Linked DNA regions of Pelodiscus sinensis. The protein of the gene in region 2 purifies or fractionates together with the protein of the main gene of each other region. This does not show direct contact. Links are inferred from orthologs where the notes say so. Each region holds a gene or a part of one and is shown on either strand. Other genes may lie near its edges.

The links.
Region 1: the proteins of FAM98A (region 2) and ATXN2L purify together in Homo sapiens (co-immunoprecipitation; 3 studies listed by BioGRID and IntAct, with this or other methods). This does not show direct contact. The link is inferred for Pelodiscus sinensis from reciprocal best matches to the Homo sapiens genes FAM98A and ATXN2L.

The regions. Positions count from the first base shown.
Region 1 is NW_027465989.1:85,949-101,441, reverse strand, and holds the start of ATXN2L (ataxin-2-like protein), read right to left. Parts: upstream 6,724-15,493; 5' UTR 6,583-6,723; coding exon 6,401-6,582; intron 2,252-6,400; coding exon 2,215-2,251; intron 1,174-2,214; coding exon 1,102-1,173; intron 726-1,101; coding exon 669-725; intron 1-668. UniProt on the Homo sapiens protein: Involved in the regulation of stress granule and P-body formation.
Region 2 is NC_134713.1:139,026,594-139,041,595, forward strand, and holds the start of FAM98A (protein FAM98A), read right to left. Parts: upstream 8,162-15,002; 5' UTR 6,455-8,161; coding exon 6,348-6,454; exon of another isoform or gene 6,263-6,347; intron 6,069-6,262; coding exon 5,963-6,068; intron 5,748-5,962; coding exon 5,719-5,747; intron 2,135-5,718; coding exon 1,986-2,134; intron 1-1,985. UniProt on the Homo sapiens protein: Positively stimulates PRMT1-induced protein arginine methylation. Involved in skeletal homeostasis. Positively regulates lysosome peripheral distribution and ruffled border formation in osteoclasts.

The DNA.
Region 1 (15,493 bases), on a different chromosome or scaffold from region 2:
CACCTGGACTCACGGCTGCTCCTGGGTGCCCTTAGCTCAGCCAGCCCCACTTCGCTGGGGAAACACCAATGTGACCTATTGTGAATGCAAAAGCTGCCAAAGCCTGGGCTGCTTGCAGGGTGGGTGGGTGGGTGGGGATGAGGTGAAATCTTTGGCTGGGAAGCTCCCAGACCACCTCCAAGCAATTCTCTTTCTACAGCAGGGCATGCACAGCACCCAGTGCCCTCTCCCCAGTCCCACTGGGCACATAACGACCAGGCCTCCATGCTCTGGGGATGAACACATCCAACAGGCATAGCAGCAGCTGGCACTGACACCCAAACTGCAGTGCCAGCCTTCAGCTCCTTCTCCTTCCTGCCCCTGCCATCAACACGCCTGCTGATCCTTTCCTCTCCCCCCACAGGTCCAGTCCCCTGGGCCGAAAATACCCCACATTTCCCTCTCTTCCCTCCTTCCGCCCCCATGCCCCAGACTCCTCCCTCTCCACCCCACTCCCTGCTTCCCAACTCAAAGGCCATTGCTGGGAACCAGGAATTTCTGACAGAGGGGATAGCATGACCACCCTCCTCCCAAGCTAAACACTCCCCCTTTTCCCAAATTACAGCCTGCTTCTGAGTGCACCACGGTGAGCAACCCCTCAGCATTACAGCGGAACTGACAGCACTTACCACGACAGCCGTCAGGAAATGCAGCATTCGAGAATTGTTATAGACACCTTCAAATACCTGTCGTTAACACAGTAAGATGAGCCCATCAGCAAGGAGCAGTGAGCATCCCTCCTGCATTTCCCCGGCTTCCCCTAGATGCGCCACCCTCGGAGCCCGGGCTACCAGCAATCACCTCTGTGGTGCTATTGTTACAGGGCATGCTTGAGGTATGTCTCCAGGGCCAGCCACCTGCTGCTGTGCAGAGACGCAGGCTTAGGTCCTGAACGACCCCCACATTTTGGCACCCTGAGCTCATGCCAACCCCATCGGCACTGGCAGGCCCAGAGTGAGCCTGCCCCCTCTTTCCAGAAGGAGCCAATTAAAGAATTCACAGTTCTTAAGGCCAGAATGGTCCAGTCTGGCCTCCTGCATAACCCAAGCCAGAGAATCTCACCCAGCAACCCCAGCACATGGCCCAGTGAGAGGGAAGAGACAGCATTGCAGGGAAACCTCCTCCAAGGTGGATCTGAGAGAGAGACAGCTGGATGTCAGAGTCCCACTGGCGACTCTGTTCTCCCCACTAGTACGGCAACTCCCATGAGCCCTGCCTCACGCTCCACCTCCCAGCCCAGTCCTGCAGCACAGCTCTGCTGAGGTAGCGTCTGTTGCTGTGATAGTCAAAGCCGAAGAGCCATCTTCAGGGAGCCAGAGAACACGTCTGGCCTTGAGAAGAGTGCAGACTAAATCGGCTGTCATCAGGACCATGAACCTGAGGCATAACGTGCCTCTTTTAAAGCTGCTTCTCAGAGCAGAACACCCCCCAGGGATGAGAAGCCAGTGGGGATGCGGTAAGTGTTTCTAGCACACTAGGAGTGAAAGTGAGGGACCAATTTAAAAGCACAGGCACACTGGGGACTGAGGAAACAATGGGACCTTTCACCCCAATCTGGACCTGGGTTGGAGCAATACATTGCCTTAAGGGGTATCTGGGAAGGAGGTATGGGCCTTCCCCTTCCAGGGGACACTAGCTCCAATCTGGCCTCAGGAAAAGGAACTGGCAGGCTCAGGGGGTGAGGAACGGCACCATTTAAGAGTGTTGATTCTGATCTACCTCCAGGCGCCAGGGGAACTGGCTTGGCTCACTGAGGACCTTGTCATACTGATGTCCCTTCAGATCCAAGAGATGCTAGTGCTACCAACAATCAGCTATGAGCCATACACAGCCCCTGGGCCACAGGGTCAGAATGCTGGGGGCCCCATGCATCTCTAGCGCACATTTTTGGGAAACAGTGACACTTGCACTGGTACCATGATGCAGAAAGCAAGTCCAGCAGAAGCCCAGGGGAAGGAATGAATGGGGTCCAGTGCAAATTGTCCTCAGCCCAGGCCATGTTCTCAGGAAAGAGGAAGGGCCTGTCCAGCCACCCTGGCTGAGGCGGAAGAAAAGCAGCCCTTGATCAGGAAGTCAGTACCACAGACAGAGCTTGACAGCCTGGCTTGGCTGGGAGATCCTGTGACCAGTAGGAGGTTCCCCCTCCCCCCTTTAGAAAGAGCTTGAGGTACTTACTGGAGACTGGGGAGGCCCCTTCCCTGTGCTCTGCCCCCTGAAAACAAATCACAGAGAGTGCTGATTACAGAACTGCTATAGCCTCAGGCCCCACAGCCAGGCCCAGCCACTAGGCCGGGCTCACCAGGCCGATAGCCCGGACGAGAGATGTTAAATAGCGGCTAATTGATCTCATGAATTCTTATCAGTTACTTGACTATTCTATAGTCCCTGGGAGTGGGGCCAGCAGCCTGTGCACTCCGGCACCACTCCCAAGGAGCCCCCCGCCACTTCGCTGGTGCCAGGCAGGAACTGGTCTGTGAGGGGAGCCAGTATAAAAACCAGAGGCAGCAGGGTGCGGTGGCAGCAGCCCCTGTCCAGAGGAGGGGCTGAGCTTCCAGACCCAGCGCGAGCCAGAATTAAACTGGGCTGCCTGCCCACCCAGCTCCTAATACACTTTAAATGCAGAGCCGCAGCAGGGGTAGGTCCTGGATCTGTCACAATCCAGGACTGAGCCAGGCTGCTGGCCAGCCTGCTAAAAAAATGTACTGGCAAAGTGGGGGAGGAGGGAGGAATACACGTAATCAGTTAATCAACTACATTATTACATCCCAGGCCTGGACACCTGGGTCCTATCCCAGCTCTGGGTGGAAGTGGGGTCATGGAACTCAGATATGGGAGTTCAAGCCCAGATCTGGGTTGGAAGGAGCCTGGGAGCTTCTGGAAGGGGGGAAGGTTAGGAGCCTAGACACCTGGGATCTAGTCTGGCTCTGCTTGGGGAGTGGAGGGTAGGGGGCAGGGAGCCTATATGCCTGGGTTCTAGCTCATCTTTGGGAGGGGCAAGAGATGTAGGGTGGGCAAGGAGAGGGGACATGCTAGAAGCCTGGACACCAGGGTCCTGTCCCAGCTCAGGGTGGTGGCCAGAGAGAGTGGGAGGGGCTGCTGGGAGCCCATCCTGGCTCTGGAGAGGCAAGGGGGGAGGCCAGACACCTGAATTCCAGAGTGGGGGAGGTGGGGCTGGGAGACCAGAAGCCAGGGTTCATGGAGGGGGGATGTGTGTGTCCTGTCCGGGCTCTGTGGGGATGGGGGTGAGGGGCAACTAGGAGGCCAGATGCTTGGGTCCTAGAGTTTGGGAGGGACGACAGGGGCTGAAGGATGGGGTTGGGAGGCCAGACGCCTGGGTCCCATGGTGGGGTAAGGGCAGATGCTGGGTCCCATGGCTAGGGGGAAAGACACTGGGTTTCCATGGCTGGGGGGGAAGGGAGAGGGGCAGACACTGGGTTCCACAGCGGAGGGGAGGGGCGGATGCTGGCTTCCATGGCAGGAGGGAGGAGAGGGGGTGGATGCTGGGTCCCACGGCGGGGAAGGAGTGGATGCTGGGTTCTGTGGCTGGGGGGGGGAAGGGACGGGGCGGATGCTGGGTCCCACGGCGGGGGAGGAGTGGACTCTGGGTTACGTGGCTGGGGGGGGAAGGGGTAGGGGCGGACGCTGGGTCCCACGGCGGGGAAGGAGTAGATGCTGGGTCCCGTGCCTGGGGGGTAAAAGGGGGAGGAGCGGAGGCTGGATCCCACGGCAAGGGAGCAGTGGACACTGGGTTCCGTGGCTGGGGGGGAGGGGCGGACGCTGGGTCCCATGGCGGGGGAGGAATGGATACTGGGTTCCGTGGCTGGGTCCCACAGCGGGGGAGGAGTGGACTCTGGGTTCCGTGGCTGGGGCGGGAAGGGGGAGGGGCGGAGGCTGGGTCCCACGACGGGGGAGGAGTGGACACTGGGTTCCGTGGCTGGGGGGGAGGGAGGGAGAGGAGCGGAGGCTGGGTCCCACGGCAGGGAAAAGGCGGACACTGAGTTCCCAGGATGGGACACTGGGTACCGTGGCTGGGGGAGAAGGGGCGGACAGTGGGTCCCATGGCAGAGGAGGAGTGGACACTGGGTTCCGTGGCTGGGGGAGAAGGGGCGGACAGTGGGTCCCATGGCAGAGGAGGAGTGGACACTGGGTTCCGTGGCTGGGGGGGAAGGGGGAGGGGCGGAGGCTGGGTCCCACGGCGGGGGAGGAGTGGACACTGGGTTCCGTGGCTGGGGGGGAAGGGGGAGGGGCGGAGGCTGGGTCCCACGGCAGGAGAGGAGCTGACGCTGGGTTCCGTGGCTGGGGGGAAGGGGGAGGGGCGGAGGCTGGGTCCCATGGCGGGGGAGGAGCTGACACTGGGTTCCGTGGCTGGGGGGAGGGGCGGACGCTGGGTCCCACGGCAGGAGAGGAGCTGACACTGGGTTCCGTGGCTGGGGGGGAAAGGGGGAGGGGCGGAGGCTGGGTCCCACGGCGGGGGAGGAGCTGACACTGGGTTCCGTGGCGGGGGGGGAGGGGCGGAGGCTGGGTCCCACGGCGGGGGAGGAGCTGACACTGGGTTCCGTGGCTGGGGGGGGAAGGGGGAGGGGCGGAGGCTGGGTCCCACGGCGGGGGAGGAGCTGACACTGGGTTCCGTGGCGGGGGGGAGGGGCGGACGCTGGGTCCCACGGCAGGAGAGGAGCTGACACTGGGTTCCGTGGCTGGGAGGGGAAGGGGGAGGGGCGGAGGCTGGGTCCCACGGCGGGGGAGGAGCTGACACTGGGTTCTGTGGCTGGGGGGGAAGGGGGAGGGGCGGAGGCTGGGCCCCACGGCGGGGGAGGAGCTGACACTGGGTTCCGTGGCTGGGGGGGAAGGGGGAGGGGCGGAGGCTGGGTCCCACGGCGGGGGAGGAGCTGACACTGGGTTCCGTGGCTGGGGGGGAAGGGGGAGGGACGGAGGCTGGGTCCCACGGCGGGGGAGGAGCTGACACTGGGTTCCGTGGCGGGGGGGAGGGGCGGACGCTGGGTCCCACGGCGGGGGAGGAGCTGACACTGGGTTCCGTGGCTGGGGGGGAAAGGGGGAGGGGCGGAGGCTGGGTCCCACGGCGGGGGAGGAGCTGACACTGGGTTCCGTGGCGGGGGGGAGGGGCGGACGCTGGGTCCCACGGCGGGGGAGGAGCTGACACTGGGTTCCGTGGCTGGGGGGGGAAGGGGGAGGGGCGGAGGCTGGGTCCCACGGCGGGGGAGGAGCTGACACTGGGTTCCGTGGCGGGGGGGGAGGGGCGGAGGCTGGGTCCCACGGCGGGGGAGGAGCTGACACTGGGTTCCGTGGCTGGGGGGGGGAAGGGGGAGGGGCGGAGGCTGGGTCCCACGGCGGGGGAGGAGCTGACACTGGGTTCCGTGGCGGGGGGGAGGGGCGGACGCTGGGTCCCACGGCAGGAGAGGAGCTGACACTGGGTTCCGTGGCTGGGAGGGGAAGGGGGAGGGGCGGAGGCTGGGTCCCACGGCAGGGGAGGAGCTGACACTGGGTTCCGTGGCTGGGAGGGGAAGGGGGAGGGGCGGAGGCTGGGTCCCACGGCGGGGGAGGAGCTGACAGTGGGTTCCGTGGCTGGGGGGGGAAGGGGGAGGGGCGGAGGCTGGGTCCCACGGCGGGGGAGGAGCTGACATTGGGTTCCGTGGCTGGGGGGGAAGGGGGAGGGGCGGAGGCTGGGTCCCACGGCGGGGGAGGAGCTGACACTGGGTTCCGTGGCTGGGGGGAAGGGGGAGGGGCGGAGGCTGGGTCCCACGGCGGGGGAGGAGCTGACACTGGGTTCCGTGGCTGGGGGGGAAGGGGGAGGGGCGGAGGCTGGGTCCCACGGCGGGGGAGGAGCTGACACTGGGTTCCGTGGCTGGGGGGGAAGGGGGAGGGGCGGAGGCTGGGCCCCACGGCGGGGGAGGAGCTGACACTGGGTTCCGTGGCTGGGGGGGAAGGGGGAGGGGCGGAGGCTGGGTCCCACGGCGGGGGAGGAGCTGACACTGGGTTCCGTGGCTGGGGGGGAAGGGGGAGGGGCGGTGGCTGGGTCCCATGGCGGGGGAGGAGCTGACACTGGGTTCCGTGGCTGGGGGGGAAGGGGGAGGGGCGGAGGCTGGGTCCCACGGCGGGGGAGGAGCTGACACTGGGTTCCGTGGCGGGGGGGAGGGGCGGACGCTGGGTCCCACGGCGGGGGAGGGGCCGGGGTCTCGCTCTCGCGCGCCGCTGGGCGGGGATTGGCTGTACAAACGACCAATCAGCGCCGCGCTCGCGCTGTTAGAGCCCCCCCCCCCCCGCGACGCGCGCGCAGTGACGGGACCCTCGCTCCCTCCCAGCCCCCCCGCCGCGCACGAGGGCCCCGGCCCCGCCCCGCCGTTACCTGGTGCCGCCGCCTCCCCCGGTCGGGGCCGCGGCCCGGGCCGGCCCGGCGCTGGGGCTCAGGCTGCCGTTGGGGCTGGGGGCGCCGGGTGGCGGCGCCTTGCGGGCGGGCGGGGGCCCGGCCTGGGGCCCGGGGCCGCCCGGGGGGGGCTGCGGGGGCAGCGGCTGCGGCTGCTTCAACATGGCGGCGCCGGCGCGGCCCCGGAGGAGTCCGGCGGGCGGGCGCGCGCGCGCGAGGCGGCTCGAGCGGCGGCGCGAGGCGGCGGCGGTTGGCGCGCGGGGCGGGGGGAGGGGCGCCGGCGGCCGGGCTGGAGCGCGCTGCGGCCTGGCTCCTTCCGCACAATGAGCCTGGCTGAGCCGAGAGCAGAAGGGCAGCGCGGCGGGGAAGCCAGCTCACTGCGCCTGCGCCGACGGCACCGCCAGCCGGGCACCTCCGCACCGCGGTGATCAGTCGAACCACGTGATGACACGAGTGGAGAACTTTTTGAGATTCTTCCGCCGGGTAAGAAGACCGTTGGTGGGCGTTGCGCATGCGTGGGAAGACGAAGCGTCCGAGGCGCTACGCGTTGGAGGGAACCTTCAGGCTGCTTTCTACTGCGCATGCGTAGAGCTGCACTCCCTCTGCGCGTGCGCCCCCCCCACCGAGCGTGTTATCCGCCGCACGCTAGCTGACCCTCGCTGCGCATGCGCGTCCTTGAGAGGGAACTTGCCGGAGGCGGGGAGGGGCAGAGAAAACTTAAAGCGCAAGCGCATCGGAATCCCTCCGCCAGGGGCGCCTTATAGAGTGGACAAAAATGAGTCCCGGCTCTTGCCCTGCGCAGCCTCAGCCCCCACCGTGACGTGTACACACCCTGTCCCCAGGGAGGGGACAGAGCTGGAGAGGAAGCAGGAGGGGGCGGAGCCGGGGAGGGGGCGGAGGAGGGAGGAAGCAGGAGGGGGCGGAGCCGGGGAGGGGGAAGATGAGGGAGGAAGCAGGAGGGGGTGGAGCCAGGGGGGGTGGAGGAGGGAGGAAGCAGGAGGGGTGGAGTTGGAGAGGAGGCAGATGAAGGAGGAAGCAGGAGGGGGTGGAGCCGGGGAGGGAGCAGATGAGGGAGGAAGCAGGTGGGGTGGAGCCGGGGAGGGGGCAGAGGAGGGGGGAAGCAGGAGGGGGTGGAATCGGGGAGGGGGCAGAGGAGGGTGGAAGCAGGAGGGGGTGGAGTTGGGGAGGGGGCGGAGGAGGGAGGAAGCAGGAGGGGGGTGGAGCCGGGGAGGGGGAAGATGAGGGAGGAAGCAGGAGGGGGTGGAGCCGGGGAGGGAGCAGAGGAGGGAGGAAGCAGGAGGGGGTGGAGCCGGGGAGGGGGAAGATGAGGGAGGAAGCAGGAGGGGGTGGAGCCGGGAAGGGGGCGGAGAAGGGAGGAAGCAGGAGGGGGTGGAGCCGGGGGGGGTGGAGGAGGGAGGAAGCAGGAGGGGGTGGAGCCGGAGAGGGGGCGGAGGAGGGAGGAATCAGGAGGGGGGTGGAGCCGGAGAGGGGGAAGATGAGGGAGGAAGCAGGAGGGGGTGGAGCCGGGGAGGGGGCGGAGGAGGGAGGAAGCAGGAGGGGGTGGAGCCGGGGAGGGGGAAGATGAGGGAGGAAGCAGGAGGGGGTGGAGCCGGGGAGGGGGCGGAGGAGGGAGGAAGCAGGAGGGGGCGGAGCCGGGGAGGGGGCGGAGGAGGGAGGAAGCAGGAGGGCGTGAAGCCGGGGAGGGGGCGGAGGAGGGAGGAAGCAGGAGGGCGTGGAGCCAGGGAGGGGGCGGAGGAGGGAGGAAGCAGGAGGGGTGGAGCCAGGGAGGGAGGAAGCAGGAGGGGGTGGAGCTGGAGAGGGGGCGGAGGAGGGAGGAAGCAGGAGGGCGTGGGGACGGGGCGGAGGAGGGAGGAAGCAGGAGGGGGTGGAGCCGGGGAGGGAGCAGAGGAGGGAGGAAGCAGGAGGGGGCGGAGCCGGGGAGGGGGCAGAGGAGGGAGGAAGCAGGAGGGGGTGGAGCCGAGGAGGGGGGAAGCAGGAGGGGGTGGAGCCGGGGAGGGGGCAGAGGAGGGGGGAAGCAGGAGGGGGTGGAGCCGAGGAGGGGGGAAGCAGGAGGGGGTGGAGCCGGGGAGGGGGCAGAGGAGGGAGGAAGCAGGAGGGGGCGGAGCCGGGGAGGGGGAACAGGAGGGAGGAAGCAGGAGGGGGCGGAGCCGGGGAGGGGGAAGATGAGGGAGTAATCAGGAGGGGGATGGAGCTGGGGAGGGGGCGGAGGAGGGAGGAAGCAGGAGGGGGTGGAGCCGGAGAGGGGGCGGAGGAGGGAGGAAGCAGGAGGGCGTGGAGCCGGGGAGGGGGCGGAGGAGGGAGGAAGCAGGAGGGGTGGAGTTGGAGAGGAGGCAGATGAAGGAGGAAGCAGGAGGGGGTGGAGCCGGGGAGGGAGCAGATGAGGGAGGAAGCAGGTGGGGTGGAGCCGGGGAGGGGGCAGAGGAGGGGGGAAGCAGGAGGGGGCGGAGCCGGGGAGGGGGCAGATGAGGGAGGAAGCAGGTGGGGTGGAGCCGGGGAGGGGGCAGAGGAGGGGGGAAGCAGGAGGGGGTGGAGCCGGAGAGGGGGCAGAGGAGGGGGGAAGCAGGAGAGGGTGGGAAGCAGGAGGGGGTGGAGCCGGGGAGGGGGCGGAGGAGGGAGGAAGCAGGAGGGGGTGGAGCCGGGGAGGGGGCAGAGGAGGGGGGAAGCAGGAGTGGGTGGAGCCGGGGAGGGGGCAGAGGAGGGGGGAAGCAGGAGGGGGTGGAATCGGGGAGGGGGCAGAGGAGGGTGGAAGCAGGAGGGGGTGGAGTTGGGGAGGGGGCAGAGGAGGGAGGAAGCAGGAGGGGGTGGAGTTGGGGAGGGGCAGATGAGGGAGGAACTGGAGGGGTGGAGCTGGGGAGGGGGCAGAGGAGAAGAGGTAGAGCGGATTGAGATGGTGGCAGATTCAATTGTCTGGTCTGACCTCTGTGTCCCAGTGTATAGGCAGCCTTGAGTTAATGGCTATTTGAACTAGATCAGATCTTTAAGGAACAAATCCAATCTTGATTTTAAACAGTCAGTGGAGGAGAATCCACCACAATCCTTGGGAAATTATCCCAGTCATTAATTACCCTCCTTGTTAACATTTCACGTCCTGTTTCTAGGTATATCTATTCTGCCCGAATTGCTTCACTGAAAGTGTAGCTGCTGATCAAAAAGCCCTAAAAGAAAGGTGGTGTTTCATGTTCCCATTGTCCTCTGTCTGCAGAGCACTTCCACACTTGGGGCAGCAGCATGAACAGAGAGCACTGCAGTGTGGGTAGCTCTCCACCTTCACTGTTAGCTCTTGTGGGAAGGCAGAGCGGATGGCGTCATGGGTCTGGACTCTATGGTCCCGGCATGCTAAGCATTTTTCTAAATCCCTTGTTTTCTGCTCCCCTTGCCATCGCTGTGTACAAGAGAGGATCCCACCCGGCTCTCCCGTATTAGCATAACTGTCAGCAGCACGGCACTGAACAGCCCTGTAGCTAATGGTGAAGTTTCAAACCTCATGGGATTCACTGTTGCCTGAGGCATCGTCTGAGTTTGGCAGAAGCGGCATTTGATCACTTTGGGCATTCAGGGAACAGTTGCGCACCATGGAGCACGTCACTTTTGGCTCAGGTGGGTCACGTTGTTATGTATGTTTTCAGCTGCAGAACTTTTGGATGAGGAAAGACACCTTCAAATCATAGGGCTGGAAGAGACCTCAGGAGATCATCAAGTCCATTCTGAGGTCTCTTCCAGCCCTATGATTCTATGATTCCAGCCCCCTGCCCAAAGCAGGACCAATCCCAACTAAATCAACCCAGCCAGGGCTTTGTCAAGCTGGGGCTTAACCTCTAGGGATGGAGATGCCACCACCTCCCTAGGGAACCCATTCCAGTGCTTCACCACCGTCCTAGGGAAATAGTTTTCCCTAATATCCAACCTAGACCACCCGCACTGTAATCTTCTGGGAAATGTGCTGAGCTCACCCCAGCCCAGCAGCACAGGGACACCTAAGTCATGGAACTGGAAGGACCCTGGAGAGGTCTTCAAATCTAGTCCCCTGCAGGCAGGACCAAGCACCATGTAGAGCATCTCTGACAGGTGCTTGTCTAATGATAGCGATTCCATAATCTCCCTAGGCAATTTATTCCAGCACTTAAGCACCTTGACGGGAAACTTTTCCTAATGTCCCCCATAAATCTCCTTCTCTGAAATTTAAGCCAGTTGCTTCTTGTCCTATGATCAGAGGTGTAGGAGAATACATTTTCTCCCTCCTTTGTCTAACAACTTCTTAGGTACTTGAAAGCTACTATCATGCCCCCTCTCAGATTTCTCTTTTCCGGACTAAACAAATCCATTTCTTTCAGTCTTCCAGAATAGGTCAGGTTTTGCAGACCTTTAATCACTTTTGGTGCTCTTCTTTTGCCTTTTCCCAATGTTTGCACATCTTTCCTGAAATATGGTGCCTGGAACCGGACACGGTACTCCCAACTGAGGCCTAATCAGCATGGAGTAGAGCAGAAGAATGACTTCTCATGTCTTGCTGACAGCACTCATATTAATGTATCCCAGAGTGATGTCTGCTTATTTTTGCAGCCATGTCACACTATTGACGAGAGATGTAAAAAGTGGGTTAAACAGGTAACCGTGCAACCGCTGAAAGTGCCACAGGGAGAACAGGGACTGTCTTGCTGGCCCCCTGCTTCCTGCAGCTCTCTTGTACATTTCAAAGGCTGAAGTGGGAACACAGGGTCAGTGGGGACAGCTTGAGGGCCCACTGGTCTTGCTCTCCCTGCTGCGCCCTTCCCTATGAGAGGCAGCAAGGGGGCAGATAGGGCAGGCTGCTGCAAAGCAGCCCCTATCCATAGAGGTCCCAGCAGGGAGCTGGACACCCCGTGGACTGGGGCTGTTGCTGCCAAGCAGCCCCTGTTTGCAGCAACCAGGGCTGGCCGCAGGCAGAGGTTTGCAGCGGACAGGGCTGTCCATCATGAACAGGGGCTGCTGGACTCAGTGCAAGCTGGGGCCAACCAGTCCTGGCTTGTGCTGATCTCTCCGCCTTTGCATTTTAAATGTAGTAGGAGCCCAGCAGCTCTTACTACATTTAAAATGCAGAGCCGCAGTGCAGGTGGCTCCTGGAGTTGATACAAATTGTATCAACTATACGATTAGCCTGATAACCGCATTTGAACATCCTTAGTTGGGCCCTCTGGGCTCTAGTGCACAGGGGACTGTGGGGAACATCTTTCTGCTTCCCAGTGGGTGGCCACGTCAATGAGGGGGTTTTCCCCTAACTTGTGTGCAGCCCTTGACTGCTTTTTTTCTGAGGGTCAGTGGCCACCAACCCAAAAAAGGTTCCCCGCCCCGATCTGGATTGTGAGTAGGGATGTTAGATGTAGTGTAACTGTGGTTACACGACTATTCGATAGTCCCTGTGGGTGGGGCCAGCAGCCTGTGCACTCCCAGGAGCCCCTGCCACAGGGGCAGCAGTGTGGGATGGCAGGTGGAGTCAGTCCATGAGGGGAGCCAGTTTAAAAACCAGCTCCCTGTGCAGACCGGCTGCCCTGAACTGCTGCCTCTTGATACAGAGCAGCAGCCTCGTCCATGGAGGGTCTGAGCTCCCCACAGACAGGCTGCTCCATGGGAAGCTTGGCTCTCCCGCTGACAGACGTTGCTTCATGGCAGCCTCCCCCGCCCCCTTCCCCCCCTGTGCTGCTGCCTCTGATGCAAGCGGCAGGGCAGGAGGCAGCACCGGCTTCTGCGTGCCCCTCCTCACTGCCTCTGTAGGAGACAGCAAGGTGGGGGAATGTGGGTCAATGGGAGCCCACACATATCAACTCTAGCCTGCCCCCTCACCCTCTGTGCTGCTGCCTCTCTACCAGAGGCAGCAGCGTGGCGGGTGGGGGGCCAGGTGGATCCGGTGCTCATGGGGAGCTGCTTTTAAGCTAGCATCTCACAGGCACCGGCTCCTGCTCCCCCCACAGAGGTAGCAAGCGGGAGGATGTGTGTAGTTGACAAGATGAACCCATAAGCCTAGGCGTATTGGTTAATTGTATAATTGACTTCACGTTGAGATCCTTAGCTGTGAGAGCAGGGGACTGGACTTGAGGGCCCAGCCAGTTCTGTGATTCTGGAGTTGAGAACAGCTCCTGTCTAGATGCAGCACTGGGTGACCTTACTATGGGTCCCACATTGTCATTTACCTTCACCTCTTCATCAGTGACTTCATTGTCTGGCCTACATCCACTTTCTGCAGGCTCCAGCCCTGCCGAGGCAGTACAGGTGGCATCGATGCCAAGGATAGCGACCCAATCCTTATGAAGACGGCTGCACCAGGGCCGTGGCTCAGCTCCCTTGCCCTCTAGGAGCTGAGGCATGTGGACCAGAACTCTGCTCTGCACTGCAGCATGTCCTGATCTTAGCCCTCTAGGTATGGCGCGTGGCTGGGGCTGCACAGCCTCCTCGCTCCAAATGCGGTCCATGCCAGAGAGCGTTTGCTGAATGGAGGTGCCATGGTCTGTTGAGACAATGGGATGGGAGCAAAGAAGTGGAATTTCCAAAAATGCCCAGGGCTTCAAAGGAGGAGGCGAAGTGGGCAGCTGCAGGGCAGTGCAGTCAGGATGGGCGTGGTAGAACACTTTCTGGAGGCAATGAGATAAAAGCAAAGGAGGGGTCTACATTGACACTGTAGCAACACAACTTTTGCATAAAAAGCCCCATGCCTCTCTTCAAGTGAATTATTTTGTCACCAAAAGGGGCACTGCAGAGTGTACATCTCCTTTGGTTTGACACGAAAAAGCTGCCTTTGGGAAAATCAAAATAACAACAAAACAAAAGTCTGCAGTGTAGACAAGGCCTCACTTCAGTTTCCATTCATGGCATCTTCATTGCCAATTGAAAAGCTCTCTCTTAAATTTCTGTTCCCCATATAAGCAAATACAGACTGAAAAAGTCACCCTCTTTGTTATGTTAATAAGAGTTAGTTCTTGGAGTCTGTTACTGTAAGGCAGTGGTTCTCAACTAGTAGATCGGGATCTAATAGTAGTTCCTGGAGCCTCTGACAGGTGACCCTAACTAGGTATGTGAATAGTTACCAGCAGGGCTCGACAAACCCTGAATCCACTCGCCCGTGGTGAGTAGATTTCAGCTGGTCGCACTGTGAGCCCCATTCACGGGCGCTTCGCGCATGCGCAGTGCGGGGCTGGCGAGTGGCTCTTGCCAGGGTTTGTCTAACCCTGGTTACCGGGTGATGATTAGTTGCTACAATTAACTGGTGGCCGGAAGCGGCCTCCCCTATTTGAGTGGTTAACCAGTTAAACATAACGTTCAGCCAGTTCACTGATTAAAGGGTATTCTACATTCCAGTTCTATGATTCCTAATCCTGACCGGTTTGGCTGGCAGGCTTTCAAGTGCCAGCACCTCAGTACCTCTTCCCCCACTGGCATGCCTGCCCTCTGCCTTGGAGCTGCCCCCAGGAGCCTCCAGTTGGATGTGCAGGGTGGGAGAAGCAAAGCAGGGAGCCACTGATGTCAAGGTGTCCCCCTGACCACTCCATATGCCATCTCCACTGAGAGGGGGGCGTGACAGGGCTTGGGATAGGGGTGTAAAGTCCCATTTAATCAGCTAACCAGTTAAAAATTAAGTTTACCTGCTTAACCAATTAAACAAGATTCCAGCACGTAGCTTTGCTGACTCCTGGACCCGTGTGGCAGGGGGGCCCAGGGGAGCTGGAGCAGACCTCTGCCCATGGCTCTGCTCACTCCCAGCTCTATGTGGCAGTGGGGCCTGGTGGGGCTGGAGCAGATCTCTGCCCATGGCAGGCTGCTCCAGGGCTCCAGTTCCCGGTTCCCCATTGACATCCCTAGATCAGGGTGAAGGGGGCTTGCTGGCATCTGCTCCTATATCTGAACATGCTCAGTACACTTAAAGGCACAGTGTGAATCTCTCTTGTTCTCACACAGCATCTGTGCCTCACACCAACATGCTGCCATTCACATTCACCTTCTGACACAGCACACACTGGGGCTGTGTCTAGACTGGCCAGTTTTTCCGGAAAATCAGCCGCTTTTCCAGAAAAACTTGCCAGCTGTCTACACTGGCCGCTTGAATTTCTGCAAAAGCACTGACGATCTCATGTAAGATTGTCAGTGTTCTTGCAGAAATACTGTGCTGCTCCCGTTCGGGCAAAAGTCCTTTTGAGCAAAACTTTTGCACAAAAGGGCCAGTGTAGATAGCTCAGATTTGTTTTCTGCAAAAAAGCCCCGAACGCAAAAATGGCGATCGGGGCTTTTTTGCAGAAAAGCGCGTCTAGATTGGCACGGATGCTTTTCCGCAAAAAGTGCTTTTGCAGAAAAGCGTCCGTGCCAATCTAGATGCTCTGTTCCAAAAATGCTTTTAACGGAAAACTTTTCCGTTAAAAGCATTTCTGGAAAATCATGCCAGTCTAGATGTAGCCTGGTGGTGGTGTAATTACATCTTTTGCTTCTTTCCAAGTGTACTATGTTAGGGTTTAGACTGGGTCTGTGCATTTTACCATTTTTATTTCTCTCATATGATGATTTAGGTGGGGCTGGTCCTGCTTTGGGCAGGGGGCTGGACTCAGAGGCTACGACTAGACCAGTGGTCCCCAACACGGTGCCTGCGGGCCCATTTGTGTGCGCCCAGCAAGTGCTCGGGGCTGGCCTGGCCCCGGGCACGTGGTGCATTCATCGGGGCCGGAGACGGCCCGGGCGCATGGTAAGCGCTGGCCCCAGGAGCACCGCGAATTGGCCGGTTGCGCCCCAGGTGCGCGGCGCTTGGGGGGGGGGCGCCGGCCCCAGGCGCACGGCATTTGGAGGGGGCGCCGGCATGCGGTGCTTGGGAGGAGCGCTGGCCCCGGGAGCGCGGCGTTTGCAGGGGGGAGGCCTGGCCCTGGGTGCGCGGCGCTTGGGAGGAGCGCCGGCCCCGGAGCGGGGCGCTTGCGGGGGGCCCCTGCCCCCGAGCACGTGGCTATGGGGGGGGTGCCCCCGGGCGTGCATGTGTCCCTGCCCTCTGGCGCCCGGCAGGAGAACAGCCATGCCCCCTGGCGCCCGGCAGCCTCTAAAGGTTAGGGA
Region 2 (15,002 bases):
GAAGGGCCCAGGCTCGCCATAGGCAGAAACTGCTCTGGCAGCAGCCCCTGGCTGCGGCAGCCCAGGCTGGCTGCGGGCACAAGGTGCTCCAGTATCAGCCCCTATTCACAGGACCCCCGCAGACAGGGGCTGCTTCGCAGCAGCCTTCCCTGCTCTTTCCCCTCCACCAGCAGCCTCTGTCTGCAGGGAACTCGGACCCCCCCACAGGCAGGGGCAGGGCATCAGGCAGCCGGTTTGCAGGGGTAGCTGGTTTTTAAACTGGCTCCCCTTGTGGACGGGCTCCCACCTGGCACTCCATGCTGCTGCCTCCAATACAGAGGCAGGAGCGCAGGGTGAGAGGGGGCTCCCTGGGAGTGGGGTCAGACTGCACTGCCTGCCAGCCCCACCTCAGGAACTATAGAATAGTGGACTAACCTCTAAGAATGCAGTTAGTCGACTATTCTATAACTTGATCGCTAACATCCCTACAACATTTAGAATGACAAAAGATGTTTTCCTTGTGCAAAAGCCCTGTGTTTTTATATTTTCCTTTTTTAAAAAAAGTTTGTGAAGTTTTGAATGCTTTCTTTAACAAAAGGCAAAACTACCTATACCAGGGAAAATTACTTCACAAAGTAAACAAATGGAAAATACAGGAAAGTTTGTAACTCCAAGATTAAAGAAAATATTACGGTTAAGTGTTACTTGTAACAAAAATAGGTAAGAGGTGTATACAATTTCAAAAATACTCAGAATTCTGTTGAATACCTGCTCTGGAGACCCTTTGTGTATCAGAATCCATATATTAAGCATGAAGATTGCCAGAATTAGAGCTCACTGAAAACTCAACAAAATTGTTTGAAACATTTTCTAGAATGTTTTAAAGCAAGGTCAGGGGTTGGTTGTGCCAGGACACTGGGACGTGTCTTGCACTGGATTGTTTCTCATAAAATGGAAAGGGAGGTGTCTGGTAGGAAGGACAGTTATACTTCAGAATGACCACAGGTGACAGAGGAGAGAGCTGGGGATCATCACAGATATAACCCCATTTGGCCAGCAGGGGTGGAGAAAGGGACAGCTTTCTACTATATATTTCAGAGTTTGTCTATTTGTATGTCTGTTATGCATCTGTCTGTCCCCCAGCTGGAGGACATGCACTCCTTCTGCACCCCTCTCCTGGGTGTACCCACTGCAGCAACCATGAACAGGCACTTCTCACCTGGACCCAAGCTGCTGCAGGGAGAGATGGCTGGGTTTGTCCTCTCTCATATCCAGCCCCACCCCAGAACAGTGATTTAAATGAAGAAAAAAAAACCTTACGTGAGTTAAGGATCCGAGCAAGGCTGGGTAAATATTCTAGTCATTTAATATATTGGATCCTCAAAGAGTTATAAAAAAGTTATTTTGAAATTGATAAAACTGTTTCCACAAAAAATAAAAACATATTCAAGAACTGAACACACACATCTGTGTGAAATATTAGTTAAAAGGGAAAACGAACTTCAGTAGAAAATTCATCTCAATAATGAACTCTGCTGGATGCACACCAAGTCAGCTTGAAAAAAAATAGGTGGAAAATAGGGATGTGAATGATCAACCAGTAAACATCACCCTTACTGGGTGATGCTTACTGGTTATGGTTCACTGGCAGGGCCTGGAGCACCCCCCACATCTGTCACAGGCCAGGGCCTGCTCCAACCCCACGGGGCCTGCCACAAGTGTTGGGGGACTTGGAGCACCCCCCACCTGCAGCAGCTGCTGCCCATCCACAAGAGACAGCATTCCACCTTCCCCCAGTTTAATTGGTTAACATAACGTTTAACCAGTTAACTAATAAAACGAGATTTCACATCCCTAATGGAAAATATCCACAAACTGACAGGATGCAGACAGTAGTCTGTGGCACAATTGACTTAAGTGTCAGCCCAAATCTATAGCGCACACACCTTAAAAAAAAAAAGTTTTTTTAACTGCACAATTTTGTTCTCAAGGCTGTGATTACTTACTGTTAGTTGCTTGCACATTTTCTTCTAGTTTACAGTATAACCTTAACTCAGACACCAGCCAAGCACAGAGTTTGGTAAATTCAGGGGAACCGGCTCCACCAGAGACTGCTTGAGTAAGTGCTCCATCTTCTAACAATGGACCTTTGTAACTGGCAGGCAAAATTAAAAGTACCACTTATTACATGTGTACAGTCAGGCCTCGATTTACGTGAGTTTTTTTGCTGTTTCAGTTATACATGGTCAATTAACTGTAACCCTTCATTTCTGTACATGGTAAAAATTCACTAACACAAAGTAGCGCAGTTGCCAAGATGCACAAATCAGTGGCATAACCAGACAACACTTGTGTGGGCAGGCAATGACAGAGGTGGGGGAAGGAAGGCAGGCAGGATGGAGGCAGATTTCCATTCACCCCTTGCTGCTGGCCTTGGGAGAAACTCTGGCCAGGTGCCCTGCAGCCCCAGGGTTGGAAGCTTGCCTGGCTCCGTCTGGTCCTCCAGCTAGAGAGCAGGGCTGGGGCACAGAGGCTTGCCATGCTCTGCCCACCCAGAGCTCCTGCCGGGATGCGGGGTCAGGGGTTTGGCCAAGGAGTGGGATCGGGGGCTAGCCCCACTGTGCCCAGTGCTTCAGCCATGGAACGAGCTTGCCCTGCTCTGCCCAGCACTTCTGTCAAGGAACAAGGTTGGTGATTTGCACAGCTCCACCCACCCAGCTCTCCAGCCCAAGAGCAGGTACAGGGCATGCACCACTCTGCCCAGCGTTCCTGCCAAGGGGTGGGGTCAGGGCAAATGGGATTCCAGCCAGGGAGCGGGAAAGCCTCCGCACCCACGCAAGCAGGGTGGGGCAAATTCCCATCACCAGCCTCCTGGCAGGAGTGCTGGGCAGGCAGGCAGGCAGGCAGAGTGGGACAAGCCCTTGACCCTGCTCCCTAGCTAGAACATCAGGCAAAGCTGGGTGAGCCCTAGTCACTATTACCCATCTAAAGTGCCCAGCAGACAGAGCCAGGCAAGCCCTTAACTCCACTCTCCGGCAGGAGCACCGGGTGGTTGGGTGCAGTGGAATAGGTGCCAGTGCCCCAAACCCCTGCCCAAGATGTGTGCCTGGGGAGGCTTCTTGACAGATTATTCATGGCCCACCCTATTCATGGCCCACCCACAAGTCCAACTACAGAGGTTGAGTGGAAGCAGCCCGGATCCTTCCTGCCTCCTCTCCCACACCTGTCATTGCCCAACCACCCAAAATCAGGGCCCACCCCACTGCTCCAAGATAGATACTCCTAGTTCTACCTTCAACAATATGATCATAATGCTAGTAGTATATCAAGTTCATCCTCAACATCAGCAAAAGTTAGGACATTACCTGTACTGCAGCAAATTTAAATTTCATTTAAAAACCATTTTGACACCTATAGCACTGTATTGTGTAAGTTAGGGATATCCTCTTGAGAGCCCAGAACCTAAAACCTTATTTCTTATAGATTCTTGTTTTATTTTTTTTTTTAAAACACAATTTCTATTTACACCTTTTTTTATATAAAAATCATAACCCCCTGTAAATCAAGGCCTGACAGTCTATTATGAATGAATTCTGCTACTGATTTTTTTAACATCTACATGCAAATGTGAGGAGTATCACTATTATATCTGAAGTGTTGAAGATACTAGGAAATGTCACACAAATTCAGGAGTTTAATTATGGGGAAACAGGACCATAAAAACATTTGAGTTAAGCAAACGTGTAAGGATTCAAAATGTTTTTATTCTGAACAATGCTACGTAAATATGGAGTGCAACTTATCATAGATGTTAAGTTTACTGATCTATTCTTTCTGCAGTTCTAAAGTACCTCTCTGGAATTATTACTTCATAATAAATTAAGTAACTGGTGCCTGACTATTACCTTTTTGTTTATTTACTGCCACATGCCATTTGCTTTCATATTTTGACTGGGTTGCTAGACAATGCAAAATGGAAACACTGGATACAGATAAGTAGTGAAACAAAATTTTCTGTTGAATGGACATTAAGGAAGTGAAAAGTTGTCTCCATGAGGAGAATTATGGGCCAAATTCAGTCCTGGCATCAACACCCACAATTCTACAATGGGTGTTGCACATACTAACTCTAAATGCAGTGCATTCTAGTTATTTACTGTTTTAGAAGTATTTACTATTTATAAAAGTACAGATTATGGCGTGTACTCTGGTAAATATAAAACATGCTAGATTGCTTTGATGTACTATATCCATCTTGAAAAGAGATCAAAGAAACCTCAAAACCAACTGGACCCTGATATCTTGAAGTAAAACCTCAAATGATTGAGTCCACTTTGACACAATTGGTGCAGACAACTCTTGATAGATATTAAAGATGACAGATGTCTCTACTAGCATATAAGGGCTTCCATCCTGCAAAGATTTGTGGTGTTACTCTCAGGGCACAAAGTAAGTCTTTGCAGGATTGAGGGTTAAGTAATTTGTCAAGTAAAAACCCCTCTTTCTGACACACTCACCAATTCTCCCTTCCCTAAGAATGCCATTCCAGATAACATCTCCCTCATAACCTAGCTCCACTTCTGCAGCTCTTCTGCATGCTCCACAACACACATGCTTCTGCTTCTCTTCCCTACAGTAATGTCTCTGCTCTGGCTGCTGTACTTCTGTTGCACCTCTTGTAATCCACAGTTTGATACCATTTTTGTTTAGTCCAGATGGATTAACAAAAGCACACTTGGACAAATTCTGCCCTTCATTATATCTGTGCAACCTTCTATTGACATTGAAAGTTAAATTAGCGTACTTCCCTGAATAAGGAATTTGGCTCGCTGTGTCATAAAAATAACCTGAAAAAGAAAAAAATTGGCTTGTGTCTTTTTACTCTTCTATATAATATACAAAGCTTAAACCTTTGTTTTCTTCCTGCTTCTCTCTCCTCTACCCCCCAATCTGCCTGAAAGCACATGACGGTCAATAAATTAGTTAAGAGATGAAATCACAAGAATCAAGGCAATGAAAGCAGAAGGGAATTTTAATCAGAGACTTAAAGTTGTTTGGTGTATTTGTTTTTGTTGACATCTATTTGACTTCAGTACCTAATGAACACTTTGTAGTAAGACATCTTTTGTTAACCATTCAATTACAAATGAAGGATTGTCCATGGAAACCAAATGTTACATTCTCTGCTCTGCCACAGACTTCCTATGACACCTTGAGTCACAGTCTTTCTGTGACTCAGTTCCCCATCTGTAAAATGAATGCAACAGTACTCTCTCAACACTAAGTGACACTGCTAGGATACGCATATAACAATTGCAAGGCACTGCAAGACACTACAGCTGTTCCTCAAAATGTTTCACTGTACATACTATCTGGGGCAAATGAAAGGGATTTTCTTATCAGCATAGGCAACCCACCTGGCCAAGAGGTGGTTGCTAAAATGAAGGAAGAATTTTACATCAGAGGTTAGGAGTGTATAGCTCTGTCTCTCACAAGTGTAGATTTTTCACACCCCTGAAAGATGTAGTGATGATGAAGTTCCCAATATAGACCATTCCTCAGCTATCTGGATTCTATGAGAGCACCATATATCATCAACAGACAGAACGCCATAGCCCTGGCAATACAATAGACATGCTGTAATAAGAAAGAAAGTCTTTCAGGCCTGCTTCTTGTACATTTCAAAACCTGTAATGTCAGGTTTCTCCTAGAATAAAGATTTTCCGTTGAAAGTCCCACCTGCCACTGGAGGAGATCCTCAGAAGCGGCTGTGGAAGAGGGAACAAAAGGCGGGTGTCACGTTGGCCACCCCGAGCTAACAGAGAAACACGAGCACAAGGAGTTTTCAGCTTCGATCCCCCTCATGAAAACGGTCAAGTCACCTACCCCGAGACAGATCCACCTTCCCACCCGCAGCTCTGGCTGGGGACTCCGGGAGGGGGGGGGGAGCTGGCCCCGGGTGTACCCCTGAGAGGACACCTACCCTAGATCCTCCAACGACTCCAGGATGTCGCTCTCCATGAGCTCGAGCTCCATCCTCCGCCCTGGCACCCAGCGGCCCGTTTCCTCGCGAGGGATCAAGCTGGCACCTGCACAGCAAAGCAGAGTCAGTCACCAGCGCGCCAGTGCCGGCCGGGCCCGGCCCCCCACCCCGCTCAGCGGCAGCCCCGGGGCTCCTCAGCCCCGCCACCGCTCCCTGCCCAGGCCGGGGATCACCCCCGCCCCGTCATCCCCCCCTCCGGGCCTGCGCCCTCCCCTGCCCGACGGGGCGGCCCGCACGCACTCTGCGCAAGCAGCTACCAAGCCGACTGCCGGGTTGGCATGTCAGGAGGAGGGGAAGGGAATAGGCCCCCAGCCTGACCTCTCACCCAGCAGCGGGAGCTGCCCCGCGCGGTGCCTCACTCGCATCCCCGCCTTGTGGTCTTGTAACCTCTCCGCTCCTCTCGAGTTCCTCCTTCAGCGTGACTGGGGACATCGTTTTAAACTTCCGAGTTTTGTTTCAGTCGCAGAAACGACCCCTTGAAGAAAAATATTTTTGTCGGGCAGCGAGTGGGCAGCCCTGAGAGGAAGGACCCCTCTTGTGGAACCCACGTTGGAATGTGGCGGGCCTGGCCCGCTGGAGACAGCGAAGTTAAAGGAACGGAGGGAGACGGGGTGGGGAAAGGGACAAACTTCAGCAGATAGCGGCCGCTACGCTAGCGTGGCCAGGACTATAAGTCCCAGCATGCAAAGTTCTAGGTAGAACCTAGCGGCTGTTGAGTTCCGCTAGAACAACGGGTTCTTTAATAAATAAGACAGAGGAGAAGGCGCGTGGCACCATGTTCCGCCTGGGCACGTGCTGCCGGGCTTTTCCGCGCTGCTCTTTCCTTTTTACCAAAGGCGCGGGAGCAGGCTAGAGCCAGTTTCCTCCTGCAACTCTTCTCGCGCGCGGCACGGCCCCGTAGGCTGCAGGGTTCAAGGAGACTCGTGGGATTTTGGAGAGCAGACCGTGTGAAGTGGCTCTTCCCCTCAGGCTTGTGTAAGACGGAGGCAGGACGTTTGCAATGAAATGCAGCTGCAGGCTCGTGTGATGAATTTAAGGTGGAGGGATTTGGAGAGAAAATGGAACTCGGAGGGTCTCCCTCCTTTGTCCCTGGGGGTTTGTCTACACGGCAACGTTTTTTTGGGATACCAGAGGTAGCTACCCCATGTCCTTTGAACGTGTCCGCTATTTCGCCATCCCTGTAAAACCTCATTGTATGAGTAAGGGATGGCTTGAAATAGCGCTGTATTTTGAAATTTGGCGCAGTAGACAGGGGCAAATGATGAAATGAGCAATTTTGAAATACTCGAAATAAGCTACGCAATTTGTGTAGCGCAAATTGCTTATCTTATTTTGAGTTTCAGATGCTGGGGAGACACACCCTGTGTAGGTTTATGCAAATCAGTCACATTTCCATGTGAGGCTGTTGGAACATGGAAGAGTGTTTAGATCTGTGAAATGGGGGGTGACTTCCAATAAAGGGAAGGGGCCCTTGCCCCATAGCAAATGATACTGTGTTAACTAACATCGTTTCTCCAGGTCATGTTCTAACACAATTTTATCTTTTAGTCAAGGTAAAGGCAGGATCTGAGTTGTGTGGTTCCAGCCAACATCCTCAAAGGGAAAAGTATATATGTGCATAAGGATTCAGAATGGTAGCAGAGGGAGGAAAAACTCCTCCTGTCTTCTGTATTATTGGGCTGGGTGTTGCCATCCTGCAGGCAGTCACACAGTGAGTCCATAAATCCCCAAAGGGCAGCTTGTGGAAGGAGGCAGCAATGTTAGGTAGTAAAAAAATCAAAAACATGTCATGAAGCCAGTACTGTGCTGTGAATTTAGTGGTGCATGTGCATGTATAAATGTAGGACCCTGTATTTAAGTACTGTTAATACAGACAAATGTAAAAGCTGACCAGAAGTCACAGAACAATGGAAGGAATGGGTCATAGGAAAAGTGAGTAGCCTTGGAATCATATAAATGTGCATGAACCCCTTCCAAGGCTACCATCTGCTTCTGCCACTTTCATCTGACTCACTCTAAGGCAGGGGTTGGGGAACCTAAGGTTCAAGGGCCAGAGCACACAAAATCTACTAGCCTAGGCTCCCTAAGGTTTTTGTGTGTGAGGGGAATATCTTTCTCCTCATTCGGGTGCCAGGGCAGTGAGGGTGGGTTTGGGTGTTTTTTTGTTTTTGCTTCTCTCTCGTGGGGCCTGACTGATTTTTTGCCACCCCTGCTCTAAGCTTTAGCTTTTAAAGGTTCTAAGCCCTTGTGGTTGCAAACACAAACAGTGAAGCAGGTGTGACCAAGAGAGGGATAACTGTGTTTACAGGTAGTTTGAAACATCCAATCTGAGATTTAACTGCCTCAGCTTTTATCTGTTGTTATCCACAGCAGTCACATTTTAAATATCAACATTGATTGTAAAAAATACTGATCATTTTAACAAACTAAAGTGTTTCTCACAATCCCACACAGCCTCCCTGGTGCCTTAAATCCCAGCTGTGAACCCCCTAACAGGGATTACACAGAATATCAAACTAAGTAGCACAAGGGAACATGGTGTAGTGAGTTCTTACTACTACTTCTAGTCTAGGTCTCATATGGGATTGATTCTTCAAGTCCTTCTCTATTCCACTTTGTCTTAAAGCATCAATTCAGTTTTGGGTCTACCAATCCTTCTTGCCCTCCACTTTTAAAGTGAAACATCCTGTTTCTTATACATTTTTCTAATCTTTTCACATGCTTAAATCATCTAAGTCTAGAGTCCTTTTGGTTTCTATAATTAGTACCACCTTCACACTTTTCCTAATTCATTCATTCTGAACATGGTGACTTTGAGCATACTTAAAATCTGTATTTCCACTGTAGTGGTTCTTACTCCTTTTCTTAATCAAAACTTCCATTTTTGAACATGCCTGAAGCTGCTGCAGCTTTTCCAGCCAGCTGCACCAAAATGCAGCAGAATCTATGTACCTTGCTACAGTCTTTAGTTTCAGCATGTCACAGAGCACATGAACATTGCTATGAAAGGGAGTCTGCTGTACAGATATTAATAATTAGATTCATTGCACCCATTTATTAAGGGCACAAACTGATCTTACTCATAGTATTAAGAGCAATATAAACTAGCACTTAGCAAGGGGGGACTTTTTTTATGAAAAAAATTGGAAAAGAATTTGGTTGGTGGTCAAGAGCCACATTCTTCCATATTAATGGAGGTGCAGGGTCTGGGATAAAGGTTGGGTGCAAAAGGGATTTTAGGATAAAGGGATTAGGGTGCAAGAGGGGCTGTGGGATCTGGAAAGGAGTTTGGGTAGAGGGAGTTGACCTGGAGCGGGAGACGGGTGCAGGGTCACGGAGCAGGTATGGGTGCAGGAGAGGATTGACCTGGAGGAGGGGTGTAGAAGGGAATGCAGGGTCTGGCAAGGGGTTGTGACCTGGAATAGGAGTGCAGGAGAGGGGTGCAGGGATTTGGGTTGTGACCAGGAGTAGAGGATTAGGGTGCAGGAGCAGTGGTGCTGTGCGTTTGGGTTACATAAGGCAGCAGGGTTAGAGGGAGGGAGGTCTGGAAGGTACTTACCTGGGCAGCTCCCAACCAGCAGCCCAACTGGTTCCTCAGCCAGGGTCCCTGCCTTCCATGCCCCTGTACTGGTTGCAAGGGCCACATGTGACTCTGAATGCTGCAATCCTGATGGAGGTGGGGCACTTATGCACTTCCTGGCCTGCAAACAGGCAGCTCCTATTGGCCAGAAACAAGTCAATGGAAGCTGCAAGACTGTGCTGGAGTCAGGGGGCCTCTCAGCATTCAGAGAGCTGCTCTGAGCAGCAGGGCAGAGCAGGCAGGGAGGGAGCCTGGCAGCGGCTCCTGTGGGCCGGGTCAGTGGCCCAGATGCAGCCTATGGGCAGTATTTAGCTGTTCCCAAGTTAGACACAAAGGTGATAAATACAAAAGGCTTATTGACAACTTAATGAACACAGTGCAGAGAGGATGTGACATTTTCAAAAGTTAAGTCAATGAGATGTATGCTCTTTAGTGCCTAAGTCACTTATGAAAATGGAACATAGGCTCCTAAATCACTTAACTGCTTTTGAAAATTTTGCCCATCATCTAAAGTCTGACTGGAATTGAGCAGGACAGGACTAGCACTGCCTTTCAAATGTTAACATGGCTTCCTGTGGCATCTGAAGGAGCAGGCAAAAGTTCAGCACTGACCCGGACAAGTCCCAGCAAGTGATGTTGGAAGAGAACGAATCAAAGGTCAAGTTGTTAAATTCATTCAGTAAGACAGCCAAATTCCATTTTTAATTATGTTCTACTATATTTTGTAGTTTAGGTAGGGTGAGTTCATTTCACGTATCAGTTCCTTAGATCCCTCCATTTCCCTCTTCCCATCCCCCCAAGCACTACCATCCTAGCTCCCTCTATTTCAAGGACTCTTTGCAACCCTCCCCATCTCTCATGCTAAGGGCTATAAAGCAGCCCCCATTTTTCCCTCTTCTATATGTCAGTGGCTGTGTGTCTCCTATGCCCTTCCCCTACCATTGTCCCTCCATTCCCATCCCCAACATGGCTGGATGTTCCATTCTCCCTTTGGGCACATGATCAGGTGTGAGCTGGATCTTCAATCATCATCGATGTAGCCAAGTTTCCCATGGTCCCATAACATTTGTTTACAGCTACCAGTCCTGGCTTTCTCTGTTCTGTGCTATTATTTAGCTCTAATTTACCCCAAATGTATTCTAAGAGCCCAGTAAGCAGTGGAAGTGTTGGTAAAGCAGCTAGACAACATTGACTTCCCCTGGTGCAGCAAATTCTCTGGGTCAGCACCAGTTAGGTCCTGAGGGTGCTGGATTAGAGGGTTAACCTGTACTGTTCTTTTTAAAAACTGACATTCTGCAGAATCTGTATTGTCTTGAGGTCCACAACTACATCAGGCAGACCACATATTGACCATCTCTGATGAAAATGGACATAGTGGATCCTCATTACATGATCTACAATCACATGACACATGCAGTGAAGATAGCAGAATCTACTTCCTACAGATAAAACAGAGCAGCTGTTGCTCTTTGAGCCCATCACTGGATTATGCCAATATTAACCAGATAGAAAAGACTTCAGGGCTTCTGTGGTGTGGTCACATTGAGCCAGTCCTCAACTTCTGAAGTAACAAATTAACAAAGGAGACCGGGAAATTCATCATCTGTGGAGCAGAAGCAGGAACATCCTTGGTAATTCAATATATAGATTTTGTAAAGAGGTAAGGGGACTGAGTATGGCTCATGCCCAAGTGTTACTTTAGAGGACATTTTTTCCACCATTTTTTCCCCATGCAGATCAGCTATTTCTTCTCACAACAGGACTAGCCTAGCTTGTATTATAAATGCACGCAATGTAAGGCAAGCGCCTATGCAATATTATCTGGGATAAACACCACTTATGACTAATCTATTTAATAAAAAACTTCTCTCTCAGTCTGTTCTATTCTTCTATGTGCTTGCAAGCCAGAGATGAAGATGCTTTCATTACGAGACTTTTTTTGGGGGAAAGAAGGAGTGGAAAGCAACTGCACCCCTCTGATAGGCAGGTGAAATAACCTCAAACAAATGCTGAGAGCACATAAGAGTAAAATTATATAGGAATTTAAGCATAAGTGTAATTTTCACATTGCACTGAAAATACCCAAGAATTGTGGAAAGGTAAGCATTTGAAATATCCCCTCCCCATCATAGAATCATAGGGCTGGAAGAGACCTCAGGAGGTCATAAAGTCTAGCCCCCTGCCCAAAGCAGGACCAATCCCAACTAAATCATCCCAGCCAGGGCTTGGGTCAAGCCTACTGGGATCACCAGTCCTTCCACAGCATACATACACACCATTGTTAAATTCTGTTCACCACACAAGCAAAAGTGCCTGGAGGCAACAGGAGTGAAGCAGCTTTTGTATTCCCCGGCCCCTGAAACAGACACGGTTCTTAATATTGCCTTAAAATAACCTGCATGAAATAATGATAGAAATGTAGCCGTGTTAGTCTGGTATAGCTAAAACAAAAAACAGGACTATGTAGCACTTTAAAGACTAACAAGATGGTTTATTAGATGATGAGCTTTCGTGGGCAAGACCCACTTCTTCAGATCAAATAGTGGAAGAAAATTGTCACAACCATATATACCAAAGGATACAATTAAAAAAATGAACACATATGAAAAGGACAAATCAAATTTCAGAACAGAAGGGGGGTGAGGGGGTAGGGAAATGTCTGTGAGCTAATGATATTAGAGGTGATAATTGGGGAAGCTATCTTTGTAATGGGTAAGATAATTAGCGTCTTTATTCAAACTTGAGTGTAAAGTGTCAAATTTAAGCATGAATGACAGTTCAGAGGATTCTCTTTCAAGTGAAGTCTTAAAAGGTCTTTGAAGCAGGATGCAGGTAATCAAGTCGTTGAGACGATGTCCTTTCTGGTTGAAATGGCAAGAAACTGTTTTTTCTTTGTGATCCTGTCTGATATCTGTTTTGTGGGCATTGATCCTTTGGCGAAGTGTCTGAGACGTTTGTCCAATGTCAGTCATGCTTAAATTCGACACTTTACACTTACGTTTGAATAAAGACTCTAATTAGCTTACCCATTACAAAGATAGCTTCCCCAATTATCACCTCTAATATCATTAGCTCACAGACATTTACCTTCCCTCCCCCCCATCCCCCTTCTGTTCTGAAATGTGATTTGTCCTTTTCATATGTGTTCATTTTTTTAATTGTATTCTTTGGTATATATGGTTGTGACAATTTTCTTCCACTATTTGATCTGAGGAAGTGGGTCTGGCCCACGAAAGCTCATCACCTATTAAACCATCTTGTTAGTCTTTAAAGTGCTACATAGTCCTGTTTTTTGTTTCTGCATTAAATAAGTTTTTTTCAAAAATCCTTTGCTGAAAATAGGTTTTAAAATAAACACACAAGGTCCAGAGTAACTTCACTTAAACTGTTTAATATTTAATATATTGTTTAATAGCAAAAAGAGCAGTGTCAACATATACACATCTTCTTGGGTGTCACCAAAAGAGCATATATATATACACACACACACACACACACTCTGAAGTAGGCCTTGTACAGCACATCTTAAGACTTGGGGGTAAAGGCCTCAATGCTAATCAATAGGCTGTTTTTACAACAGTACATTCATCCAGTCTGAGACCTTATGCCCCAATGGGTGCTCTCATCAGAGAGAAAGGAAAATAAGGACTGTATAAAGCATGCAATTCTATACCCACCTTCTCAGAGTAGGATTTCAGTAGTCAAACAGCTCCAGATAACATCTGTTTCACTCCTGTAGAAATTAACAAAAAGCGGGGAAAGGGAAAGGGCCTGCCCGAGAAGCACAAACTGGGTGGCCATCCCAGATAGATGTGCGGAATAACTCTTTGTCTGTATCAGTCACAAACCTGTAGCCCCCTTTGCTTTTCTTTCCAGCCACATCAATATTTTCTGGCATACAGTTCTCCTGATGCCATGTGGAAAAAGGTAGGTAGACACAGGGCAGAATGAAAACAGCCAAATTGACCAAACTGATCTAGACACAATCATAGATTGTGCCAACATCAGTAAACAGGTGACTGCTGAGTTAAGTTTTACTAGGGAAAATAAACTGTGGATTGGTTTCTTATGTTACTTAATCTAGGATGCTAACCCTTGGGTTACTTTACAAACCTGAGGCAGGATATAGACCCGTGTGTCCTTCCAGGGATCTGGAATGGGGATCAGCTGTGACAGGAGCTGTACTTGTCATTTTGTACCTAAGAACACAATAATATCTAGATCTTATTAAATAATTGTTACATTATAATAGACGAGTTGTCTAGTTCTGTATTCTGTTTCCAAGCGGCCAGTGTGTGATGCTTCGAGGAAGGTGTAATTCTCACACAGTACACCAATGACAAATGGGGTGTGAAATTCCTTCCTTACCTCAGTGGACCAGTTTAGATCACAAAACATACAAACTGATCTTTGTACAATTCTCAACATGACTTACAGCACCTTAGGGGCTACAATGGGTCAGTCAGCTGGAGATAGTTGGAATGCAATATGCACCTCTGGTACCAGGGTGCAGGGACCACAAAGGAGCTATGTCATGTCTGGGGCTGCTGGGGACTCATGGGTGGTTTCTGCTCCCCTTGTGCTATTTGAACAGGGCAAAGAAGGTAGAATAGGATAAAGATCCAGAGTACTGGTTTGAGCCTTCACTTTTTTGAAATATGTTTGGCTCTCCAGATGAAAGCACTGGTCACCATTTCAGCAGTGCATTAAGTGCTGAACTAGTGCCTATTCCACACTTTAGTCTTTACTCCCCCCCAAGCAAAACACGTATGAATGACATGCTAAATGTGCACATTTGCTGGAGTACAATACCTAGCTTTTTTTTGTGGCGTTACCATTAATTCACAACTCATACACTGTACATGTTAAGTTTAAATTGTCTTAACATGCCTTATGTTGCATTGGGTTACACAGACTCTGGCTAATCAGTACTTGTGAAGTTCCTCAAAACTCCATAGGCTTGAGGAACCTAATATTTCATAAGCATACTTTGCCACCTCTCTAGTCACCCTTAATTTCCTTAAATTAAAATATTAATTACCAATTCTAGAACTTATCTGTGGGGCTTCCTTTAAGGCCCTTTCTATTCTGAAAACTGGACACTTATTTTTTGACTAACCCTTAACTATTTTTTAATCTATATCAAAACCTTGAGTCTCTCAGCTCACTGCTACCTACCTTTATCAATGAAACACAAATGTGGTCAGGAAGAATTCATGGCTGAAGGTGGTTGACAGGAATTTTTTCAGAAGTTTTAAAAAAATCTAAATAAAAAATTGTCATTATTTAGTTAACCCTTTCAAAGAATTGTTACAGGTTAGACAAAATTTATCCTTAGAAGAGCTGTACTTGTCCGCTTGTATTGCGTTATATCAAGGAAGTCAAACTTAATTTAACAAA